2 linked regions of the Schizosaccharomyces pombe genome follow. Changing the gene in region 2 together with the main gene of any one other region gives a genetic interaction. Each region holds a gene or a part of one and is shown on either strand. Other genes may lie near its edges.

What was found.
Region 1: of hsp9 (region 2) and rad25, extra expression of one rescues a mutant of the other (dosage rescue), as found in Schizosaccharomyces pombe (one study listed by BioGRID).

Annotation. Positions count from the first base shown.
Region 1 is NC_003424.3:3,581,408-3,587,678, forward strand, and holds rad25 (14-3-3 protein Rad25), read right to left. Parts: upstream 3,435-6,271; 5' UTR 3,373-3,434; coding exon 3,306-3,372; intron 2,589-3,305; coding exon 1,843-2,588; 3' UTR 1,721-1,842; downstream 1-1,720. Other genes in the region: rrp1 (ATP-dependent DNA helicase), read left to right, coding at 1-1,509; vacuolar CorA family magnesium ion transmembrane transporter Mnr2, read left to right, coding at 5,028-6,271. UniProt on the Schizosaccharomyces pombe protein: Acts in cell cycle and stress checkpoint signaling by sequestering signal transducers regulated by the checkpoints. Required for the DNA damage checkpoint that ensures that DNA damage is repaired before mitosis is attempted.
Region 2 is NC_003424.3:5,318,734-5,323,941, reverse strand, and holds hsp9 (plasma membrane heat shock protein Hsp9), read left to right. Parts: upstream 1-3,265; 5' UTR 3,266-3,336; coding exon 3,337-3,543; 3' UTR 3,544-3,985; downstream 3,986-5,208. Other genes in the region: ski7 (ski complex-interacting GTPase), read right to left, coding at 1-630, 691-1,164, 1,220-1,415; zip3 (ZIP zinc transporter 1), read right to left, coding at 4,642-5,208.

The DNA.
Region 1 (6,271 bases), 1.7 Mb from region 2:
CTAGATGAGGCACATACCATTCGTAACCGCGACACTCTTGCCGCTAAATGCTGCGTCAAACTGGATGCCAAATATAGATGGTGCCTAAGCGGAACCCCCATACAAAACCATATTGATGAGTTTTACAGCCTCTTAAAGTTCCTCAGAATAAAACCATATTGCGTGTGGAGCCTTTTTGCTAAGGATATTTCCAGACCGCTAAAAAGTTATCGTGCAGATATCGTTGAAGCTGCTCTTAAACGTCTTCGCATCCTTTTGGCTTCTACGGTTTTTCGTAGAACTAAAGAGACGAGGGTTAATAATTTGCCTATTGTCAACCTTCCTCCAAAAACCATCCGTACCGTCTCCGTGAACCTTCTTCCTGAAGAACGCGCGCTCTACAATGAGCAAATGTCTAGTGCTCAATCGCTCGTTGATAACTATTTTAACAATGATCACGATCTTTCGCGCTACGGGTTCTTATTAGTATCTTTACTCCGTCTTCGCCAATTTTGTTGTCACCCATGGCTTGTTAAGAGTTCTAGCTTGGATAACAGCTTTAGAATTAGAGATTCCGAAAACGTCAGAAATGCTTGCAAGTCTTTGGATCCCTTGACCATAGAAAGAATTGCTACACTACAGGATTTCAACTGTAGTGTTTGTTTGGATCCTTGTTTGGCTCCCGTTTTTATTATCCCTTGCGGGCACTTTACATGTCAAGAGTGTATGAGCATGCTAGTCGGCCAGAAGTATGGATCATCAAGCACTTCTACGATCATAGCAAAGTGCCCAATGTGCAGAGGTAATATAGTTCAAGATTCATTAGTTGATGCAACTATCCTTCAAGCAATCCATGGTCCTTTAAACTCTTTAAAGCAATTAGAGTTAGATATGAATCAATCTTTTTCAGAACAAGAAAGCATTAAATTAAGGTGGGAAAATCGTATTGACCAGATGTTTACCAAAAAATTTGGCAAGCGGGCGAGCGAATGGAAAAGCTCCTCGAAATTGAATCAAGCAAGACAAACAATTTTGGATATAATTGGCTCCAAGAGAAACGAAAAAATTCTGGTCTATTCTCAGTTCTCCCAGTATTTATGCCTCGTATCGCACATGCTAAAATTAGAAAATATACGACATGTTCGTTATGATGGTACTATGTCTGCGAACCAGAGGCAAAAGTCCCTACATTCTTTTAATAACGATAAAGATGTTTTAGTCATGCTGGTTTCATTGAAAGCCGGCAGCGTGGGTTTGAATTTGACGATTGCAAATCACGTTATTCTACAGGAACCATTTTATAATCCGAGCATAGAGGATCAAGCAATAGATCGTGTTCATCGGCTTGGACAGCAGAAGCCTGTCACCGTGTATAGGTTTATTACTAAAGATACGATTGAAGAGCGTATCGTCAGTGTTCAACGTAAGAAGCGTCAATTGGTTAAAGAAGCTTTGGATTCAAACGAAAACAATCCTCTGTCGAGACTTGACAAAGAAGAGTTGCTATATCTATTTGGGCTTAATTCATGATTATTTAATGTTAACGTTACTCAAATGAACTATACTCTACTGCATACTAAACTAAACGTTAAAAAAAGGGGTGGTGTAGTGTAACGCATGTACAATGTATAATAATAGTATGCTTTGATGGTTTTAAGGCCACAAAGCCAAACTAACTACTCATGAAACGTAATCAAAGTTATAAATTTATAAATGATAGAAATAAAGTGCAAGAAGAATATAATGAAGATAACTTTGTTATATGGCTACGAATATTAGATAAATCATAGGTATCAGTTCATATATGCAAAAGTAATCAGACCATTAGGATCCGTTTACTGATAAAATGCTAACGCTTTAGTTTCAAGCTTTAACAGTGTCAGTCGTAGACTCTTTGGGCTCGGGATGTTCGTTTTCAGAAGCAGCAGCGGCAGCAGGAGCCTCCTCCTTAGCAGACTGGTTGTATTCGGCGTCAGAAGTCCATAAAGTCAAGTTATCGCGAAGAAGCTGCATGATTAAAGTAGAGTCTTTGTAAGATTCTTCAGAAAGACTATCGAGCTCTGAAATGGCCTCATCAAATACTTGTTTAGCCAAATGGCATGCACTTTCTGGAGAGTCAAGGATTTCATAATAGAAGACGGAAAAGTTGAGAGCCAAACCCAAGCGCATAGGGTCCGTGGGAGGCAACTCAGCAACAGCAATGTCAGAAGCTGCCTTGTAAGCTTCTAAAGAGCTGTCGGCGGCCTCTTTGCAAACTTCGCCAACAGTAAATTCGGCCAAATAACGATAGTAATCACCCTTCATTTTATAGTAAAATACCTTGGATTCACCGGTTGTAGCGGCAGGAATCAAATGCTTTTCAAGGACGGAAAGGACGTCATGACAAATATCGGATAACTCATCTTCAATCTTCTTACGGTACTCTTTAATCAATGCGGCTTGTCGAGTGTTGCCCCTACTTTCCTCCTTTTGCTCTATAGAGGAAATAATACGCCATGATGCTCTGCGAGCACCAATGATGTTTTTATAGGCAACAGAAAGCAAGTTACGTTCTTCAACAGAAAGTTTATCGTTTGAGCATGCAACTTTCTTCATATTTTCGACCATTTCTATACATTATCAGTTAGCAAAGAAGCAAAAACAAAAAGGAGAGATGAAAGAAGCAAAGCCAAGTATAGACGGGTCAACAAACAGTAATTCAAAACGAGTTATCATTGCATGGTGAAGATATGAAGGTAATAATATCCTTAATTGCGTTGAGGTTTACCTACAGAACGGTGTTTCGTGTTACTCCTGATGTTAGTGAATTTCTTTGTCTTGGTGGTTACAAAGAAACCTCAAATCATAAGAGGAGATAAGAATGATAAGACAATCAAGGCAGTTCAATCGTGGTTTTAAGAGAAAAAAGGAAGCAAGGTAGGAAATAGAACAAAGGCGACAAAAAATAATGATTACGAAAACCATAAAATCAAGAGAATTGCAAGCCGTTCTTGTCCATAACCTCAGATATCATAAACATGTCCAACAACAAAACAATGTTGTAAGAACTCATTTTAAACCTCATCAAGCGATTTTGGGGACATTTTAAAATACACAAGTCATCCACGTACTAACCCATAACCCCTCTTTTTCTCAGCCGCATCAAACAAACAACCTTGCAACATTCAACAACGCAACCTGTTCAAGACCAACAATATTAAAAAACCAAAGAACTCCCACATACAGTAGCAAACTGCAATATAATAACTTTTCATCAAGGTCCCTTCATTGACAATTTCGTACTATTACGCTATATCTACTTCCAACAGCGGATCCTTATCACATACCTTCGTAGCGTTCAGCCTGTTCGGCCAACTTGGCGAGATACACCGAGTTTTCACGAGAATTACTCATATTTGCAAGGAATTATTAAAAGCGGTGGTTAGTTGAGGTTGGTAGAAGTGAGAAAGGAAAGTTGGGAAGGTTGGTTGGTCAGCCGAATATATGACGGACTATACTGAGATTTATGGATATCTAACAGAAACATCACTACACCTCTCTTATTCTTTTACAATATCGTAAAAATACTTCTTACACGTATGATTAGGCTTCCAAAAACAAATGCCAAACAAATGCCCAGTGTCAATAGGAATTCGGTAGAAAACGCGTTTTTACTCACTGAATGAGGAATTGCTGTCTTAAAGTATGTTACAATAAGTTTTTCTTTCGAAAACAAGATACCAAGTATCAAACATAAGCGTGAAAGATTACAGTTAAAACAATGAGTGCAATAATTGAGGAAGCTTGACAGAAACAAGAGGCTTACTTTAGGGGCAAAGAAGTTTTAGAAGGTTTTTTATCACTCTATGCAGGAAGCTTCAAGAAGAAGGCGTTTTTCTTTAGTTTTCGATGGCATATGCGATATGCTTGAATATCCGTAGGAGGCGGCGAAATTCCATTATATTACATTGACTACAAAGGAGTACAGTGAGCTGAAAAGTGTGTGTTATTATGTAAGCTGCTTTTCGGCGTTGTCATCACAGATTGGTGATTACCGCAAACGGTAATTTTACGAACAAAAAAGATCAAATTACATTGTGCTGATTAATTGCTCCTTCAACTTGTGTATTTTAAACTTAATACTTCTTGGCTTAAATGTAAAGTTTTTTAATTCTCGTTGTTCTAAAATTGCATACTGCGTTTATCATAAACCTTTCAAGTTTCCCTGAAATTGTTTCTGTTATCCTGAAACAATACGATATTCTTATATGAAAAAGGTATGAGTTGATTTAAACAAGATAATACGACTTTATAATTTCAGGGTTATTGTTCGCTCATTTCACTTACACGTTTGATGGGGTTTCTACTGCAATGCTGCAGTCCCGTTGTGGGCAACTTGATTGCGCGGTAATACGAAAAGTAGGATTTTAAATTGTTACAAGGGACAATCTGGTTGGGATAAGATTTTTTATAAGTCGCGGTACTTATTTTGTCTAGTAAACAAAACCGTCCTCTTATGTGCAACTTCAGCAGAATTTACTAACCAATTCTATTCATCCTTACAAGAAAATAATTAATTTGCACCAATTTGAACCTGGTTCAATATGTGTAGGCCGGAAATGAATTTAATTATGCTGCATTGGATTCTTACAAATACACTTCAAAAATATTGATGAAATTAAACAAAACTATGCTTAAAGATACTGTATTTTGTCTGGTATATGATTTGGGGGTCTTTAAAAAATTGCCTTCCATATCAATGATAAGCGTCTTAGCTGCCACACCTCAACAACACATCTCTAAAAATTGGCATTTCCTCTGTTGTTTGAGTTTTGTGAAATTATTCTTTAAATATTTTTAATAAATTCAAACCTCTCAATCAAATGTGGGCAGAAATCCTCTCTTTCTCACCAATAGAGTAATTATATAAATAATCCACAAACCGTTAGTTTGTTAAACCAAACGCTATTCGATCTCTTTGGCATTATAACTATTTTGATAAACCAAGAATAATACATTCATTGCTATACAACCTGTCAATTCTTAGCATCCATAATCCTGTTTGAATTATGCCATCCAATACATCCCGGTCAGTGCCTACGGGCTTTTATTACAAACAAAATGCTAGGATGCAGAACAGGCCTAGATTTTCTGATCGTAAACACTCGAGTAAATCTAAACATCGATTTCCAGTGGACCCTAGTTTGCAACCAGACGAAGCGGATGAGGGAACAAGATTATTGGGAAACAGTGATAGTGATCTATTAGAACCACCGTCTGAGCATTCAAGTAATGGGGAAGATGACAAGGATATTAATAACCCTCCTTCAATGCCTAGTTCTGTTTGTTCTTCCCCGAAAAGTCCACACCGTCACTATGAAAGCGATGAAGACATCGAAAATATATCACTGCCGGAAAGCCATCCAGAGGACATTCAAAGGAAAGAATTTGAGACGGAAAATGGGAAGAATACAAGAGATCAACCTAGTCCACTTGCTGAGGTCAGTGACTTTGCTATTTCATCCCCCCATGTCTACCCTAAATCAGCTAATTCTCATGATAGTCACTATGAACAGTTTGCAAACAACGACGTGACTGAGAGTGCTGTTGATGATCATCCGGCTACTCGAAAGTTATCTCGGGATGAGTTGTATTTACCCATATCTCCAAACAATGCTCAAGAACCAAAGTTTTCTGTCCTTGATGAATGGACCAAAAAGATGGTTGCCAATTTTGAAGAATATTCGGTAGAAGATGTTGATAAGCGTCGTGAAAGAAATAGGAAGTTGAGTGAACCGTTACTTGTAAATGGCCGTTATCGTGTTCGTGATCGTTGGGCTCAATTTCGTAAGTCAGAAATTGAAAAACCATATCGATTTACATTCTTTACCGATGAGCTTCCTTCTACTATCCATTCACATGAAATGTGGGAACTCGTTCACGATGGCCAAAGCTTTGAGGACCTTTTCCATTCTGGAGGAACTTGGTGGCTAGATGTCTCTTGTCCAAAGGAAGAAGAAATTCGAGTTCTGGCAAAGGCTTTTGGAATCCATCCTTTAACCGTTGAAGATATTACTCTCGAAGAGGATCGTGAAAAAGTCGAGCTTTTTAGAACGTATTACTTTGTTACCTTCCGTTCATTCAACCAATTACCCTCAAACTCTGAGTACCTAAAGCCGTTGAATTTTTATCTAGTCGTCTTTCGTGACGGTATAATTACTTTTCATATGAACCCGACACCGCATCCAGCTAATGTTCGTCGAAGGATTCGTCAACTGAATGGTTATCTGACAGTGAATGCAGATTGGATCGC
Region 2 (5,208 bases):
TAACAAGATTAATGAATTTATTTTCATCCCACTCAATTTCATCCATCTTAGTGATAGCAAACATATAGCTTGAAATAGATAAGCCATTCATCAATTGTAAAATGGAAGATATTCCATCAAGACCTTCCAAAGGATTCAGACAATCAATGGTGAAAATGGCTGTGTTCATTACTTGAAACAAACTTGAATGTTTTAGAAAATTATCTCGAGAACTTGCATTAGTAGTGAAGATTCCTAAAGGAAAATCAATAATAGTTGAGGAGTAACTGTTGGAAAATGTTTCAAAATCATACCATTTCGTTTTGGTGGACTTTAGCACTGAGCTCAAACTTTCTTTTTTGGCATTCAGTACTGTACATTTTTGCATGGTTTTGGGATCAAATGATCCAATTTGAAAAAATAATCTAGAAAGGAGTGTTTTTTTACCAGACTTGGGCGGGCCCAACAACAAGAGTTTCGTTCGAGGCTTTACTAATTTGGAAAGTTCAATTAACTGATCTTGGGAAAGTAAGGTGTGATCATTATTTGAATCATTAGTATTTTTTTGAGGTTTCAATTGTTGAGAAACTTTCTTCATTGACTTTACAGAGTTTAGCAATTGCTCGTCCAAACGTTTGTGTTTTTGGAAACCTGTTTAACAATTAGCGCGAAAAAAAAAGGAAAAGATGAATTGAAGGAGACAAAGCATACTTTTAGATTTAGATTGAGCCATCAAAACTATGTCGTCAGGGCTAGGGGCGTTAAATCCTAAAAGTGAACTTTTGCTTAGATGAATCTCAATTTGGTCCTCAAAAACGCGCTTCTTTGCGCCTGTAAGACATTTCGCAAATGAGGAAGGAGGAGCTAATTTTACCTCTTGGGGGTTCTTCTTCAGTTGGTCGCTTTCCACCATTTGTTTTTGGAGTGTGGTTTTATCATCATCGTCAGTAAGATGAATTTCATGAGACGATGGTTGTTCAGAGTCTTTCTTCTCTGCAATGCGAACCTTTCGAAACCTTTGCAACAAAAAATCATTTTCAACGTTTTTCTTATGTTTAGCTTGAATAGGCTCTTTTTCCTTTTCCTTTTCGGTTTTAGGCGGCTGCTGTTGAGTGGATGGAAAAGAAGAATGCAATTTTTTCCGTTCAGCGGCGAGTAATGCGAGCTTGGATGTTTTTTGTTTCTCTATGAATGTTAATTTCTAGTTCTCCACTTTTTGTGACTAATTATAATGGCGTACCTGGAACTACAAAGTTAGTGTCGTTAATTGTGTCACGTTCTTGATGGTCATTTGTGCTGGAGGATGGAAAAAAGTTGGGAGAATCAGAACTTGAAGAGGAGTCTTGTTTTAGGATAGAAGAAAGACCGATGGGATGTTCAGACGGAGGTTTTTGTTTTGCTTTTTTGGAGTTTAACAACTGAGACAACCTAGACATATTTCTAAATGAAAATGATGGATCGAGACAAAAAAATTACTCATTAAATAAGTCTATAATAATATACAAAATGCAAATCAATTGCTCAAAAGCTCATTAGCATGTATGCGTAAAATGTTAAATTGGAAGGTGGATGACGAGAAGTTAGGATGGATTAAGCGAATCAGATATACTGTATATAGTCAGATGGAAAATTGGGTGGTATGATAGACATACTCGAATGAGAAAGGTTTTGGTATGTATACAAGTAAGCAAACAGATTCAAGTTGATGATTAGTGGACTGAAACAAGCGAAAAGAAAAAGGCAAACAAGAAGTATATAAGTGAAGGAGTTGTGGAAAGGAATACCATAACAATGAACGAAAAGAAGTGAAACGGAGAGATAAAATACAAAGATGAATGAAATTTAAAAAAAAAAAAAAATAATAATAATAAAGGAGTAAACGAATTATTCAAGAAAAGAAAATGGAATGAATATTAAAAAGAAAAAACGAGTATGAAGCGAAATCCCTAAAAAAAAACGAGTAAATAAAAGAAAAGGAAGAACGATTGAGTTGAATTTACTTTTTTTTGCTTTGGTGATTGGACTACATTCAAAAGAGTTTTTGTTGAGAATGGGTATAATAGAAGATGGCCAGTTTATTTTATTCTTTCACTTTCTTTCTTTGTTTTAAAAAAAAAAAAATTAATAAAGAGAAACAAAATATTGAAACCATCTCGAAATGCTGTAATGAATAAATAAATTAAATAAAATAAGAAAAAAAATAAAAAAATTTCTATAAAGTTAAAAATAAATAAAATAAAATCAATTTAAAAAAAAAAAAAAAGAAACCAAAAAACGTCGAGCCATTCCTACTTTTGCTCATGTTCTCATCTCACATTTCTCACGTATCATCTTTTCTTCTCTACTTCGGGTTACACACCTTGGGTTACGCTTCCTAAAAGATTATAAATGGTCTTTAGCTACACCTTACTTCTCCTTATTATTGATTTAACAAAACCATCATTGCAGTTCGTCTAACAAAATAATGGTTTACCAACTCTCTATTGCGTAGTTGTGTAATCCGCAGTTTGCAGCATCTCGTAATATTCCCTGCTTATAACGGAATTTCACGATGTATCGCATGCAATACGTGCGGCGTTGAAACAATTGTGTTATTGTGCGCAGTGTGTGTAATACCTGAATGAGATTGCCTCTACTAAGCCATACTCACTTTGAACATGGTTGTGGTTATCTTTTAAATAACGTTTTGCAAAGTGTTATTGTTTTTGCTCTAATTGTTTTTTTTTTCAACAAGTGAAGTTCCCCTATTTAGATCAAAATTTCATCACCCAATAACAACACCATCATGCAAAGAATACTTCGGAATTTTAAAAGACAAAGAAAACTTCTTAAAATTTATTTACAGAAATAAGTTTGTTTCCTAAGGGATACTCACTCTAAAGACAAGATGCACTTCCCCTTCTTCCTCTCTTTCTCTCTCTCTCTCTCTTTGAACTAGTACCACCACTTCGCTTCTCTCCACTTTGAACCTCTAACCTAGCGAGGGTTTTACCGTACTCGCTATCTCGCTTTGCAAATCCACAAAGCTTCTGTATTACATCATAAGAAAGTAGAGTGGGCGCTCATTGGAAATAGCTTACGTAGCTCAGAAAACGAATGGTGCGAAGAAAAGGGGCTTTGCTAGAAGCTGCTCATTATTTGTCTGATTGGATAGCGAGCTATCTGATAGAAAACTACGTAATTCCTTGGATCGCAGTTTTCTCCAGTTTCTAATGCTAACTGACGCAAATGTGATGTAATGGGCTGCGATCATAATGACATGAGCAATTGGACAAGAAGCTATAAATACGAGTCCAAGTTCAACAGTTTAATCATTCAATTCAATTCCAATCAATTTAATTGTCTTAAATATTCAAAATGTCTGATCCCGCAAGAAAGTCTTTTACTGAACAAGGCAAGGAGAAAATGACTCCTGACTCCTCCAAGTCTACCCTCGACAAGGCCAAGGAATCCATTACTGGTGCCTACGACAAGGTCGCCTCTGCTTTTACCTCTGACGAGGACAAGAGCACCTCTCAAGAGGCTCATGACAAGGCTCAACGCTTTGTTGATGACAAGTTGTAAAGAGGTTCTTATGACTTAAAATTCATGCTTTTGGCTGGTGAAACTCAATCCACCAAAGCATCGGGATGATTTCTTTACCGATGAACGGACGAAAATGGTTTGAGGTCTCCTCAATTTAGTAGGTAGTGGTTGGATTGTTTTTATGAACGATCCATCTCATCACTTTCTAATGCGAGGTTGCATCCTTGACCAATTACCATCTAATTTTATGATATATAACGAGGTTACGTGATACCATCATATATATATATTTGCTCGACTTTTTTTACAAATTTTTTTCAAAAAGTGGGTGCTTATATATTCTTTGGTTCAAAATCTTTATCGATTTGAAGTAATGAAATATATTTTCCCTTATACCCTATATACTTTTTACTACCATATCTAGCAACTGTATTGTTTACATATAAGTAACGAGTAACTTAAAAACAGTACTGTAAAACAGTTAGTAGTTGTGACTTGGGTAACAAGTGTTTTCATCCACTGTTTGACATAGGAATGTTACAATGATGAAAACTCAAAACATTAGGATGGTGATAGAAACAACGGTAAAAAAGTTAGGATGTTTTGTTTATTGCCCTTGAATTCTTACTCGTTTCCTTTACCCTTATAATAATAATATTCCATATAGTTTTAGTCTTGTCAGGTTTGGTCAAAACGTGTTTTCGCTTATGAAAAGCAAAAACATTGAATGTTATTTTAAATTGGCATTATTTGTTTACTCTCAATGCCGATTGTTTACAATCTTTTCTGTCAGCTAGAATAGAAACAGGTTATGGAAAAGAAATAAAAATACTCTTAAACGATTTAAAGCGCGTAAATTTTGAAATAAGAGGGATCAAAAATTACAAGTTTGAACACGAAAGCGCCTTATGTGAATGTGAACAACTTAATTCTACCATAATAATTAACAAGTTAATAAAAGAACTAAAATAATGTTTCTACACATCTTCATAAATGTGTAATTTTTTAATATTAAATGTAAAGACAAAGCACAATGCCAGAAAAAATGAAGGACAAAAAATATTAGTCCCGATTTATATTTCTAGAATAGTACAATATCAACTCCATACCACGCCCTAATGTAAGTTATCTGTCACTTTAAACATAATATAAAAAAGAAAAACCTCCAACAATAAACATCATGTACAATGCCGTGTAAATCATATTTCCCAGCTTTCCTTTTGATAAGTTGATTTCCAAAAGCTCGGGAAATACGCCTAGGTAAGCTATATAAAGGAAACCACCAGCCGTGAAAGGAAGGAGTTTATCCTCAAGTTGTAGAAGGAAAGAACCATATGGTGAAGATGAAGATGAAGCAGTGTATATATATGTAGCGACAATTGCTCCCAATAATCCCGTCACCATAGTGATCATTTGCAACACGAGTACTTGCGATTTCGTATACCCATTTCTCAGAAGTATAGCCAAGTCACCAATTTCTGCTGGAATTTCGTGTAATAGAACAGCAAATGTGGTGGATATGCCAATGGAGGTATTGGTAAAGAAGGCGGAAGTGATCGCCAAACCGTCCATAAAATTATGAAATGAATCACATAACAAATTTAAATATACCACAGTTTTGTCGTTATACTCTTCACTAACTTCTTCAACTACATGTCTAATCAAATCAGGCTCGTGACCTTTAGAGTTCTGATCATCTTTGAC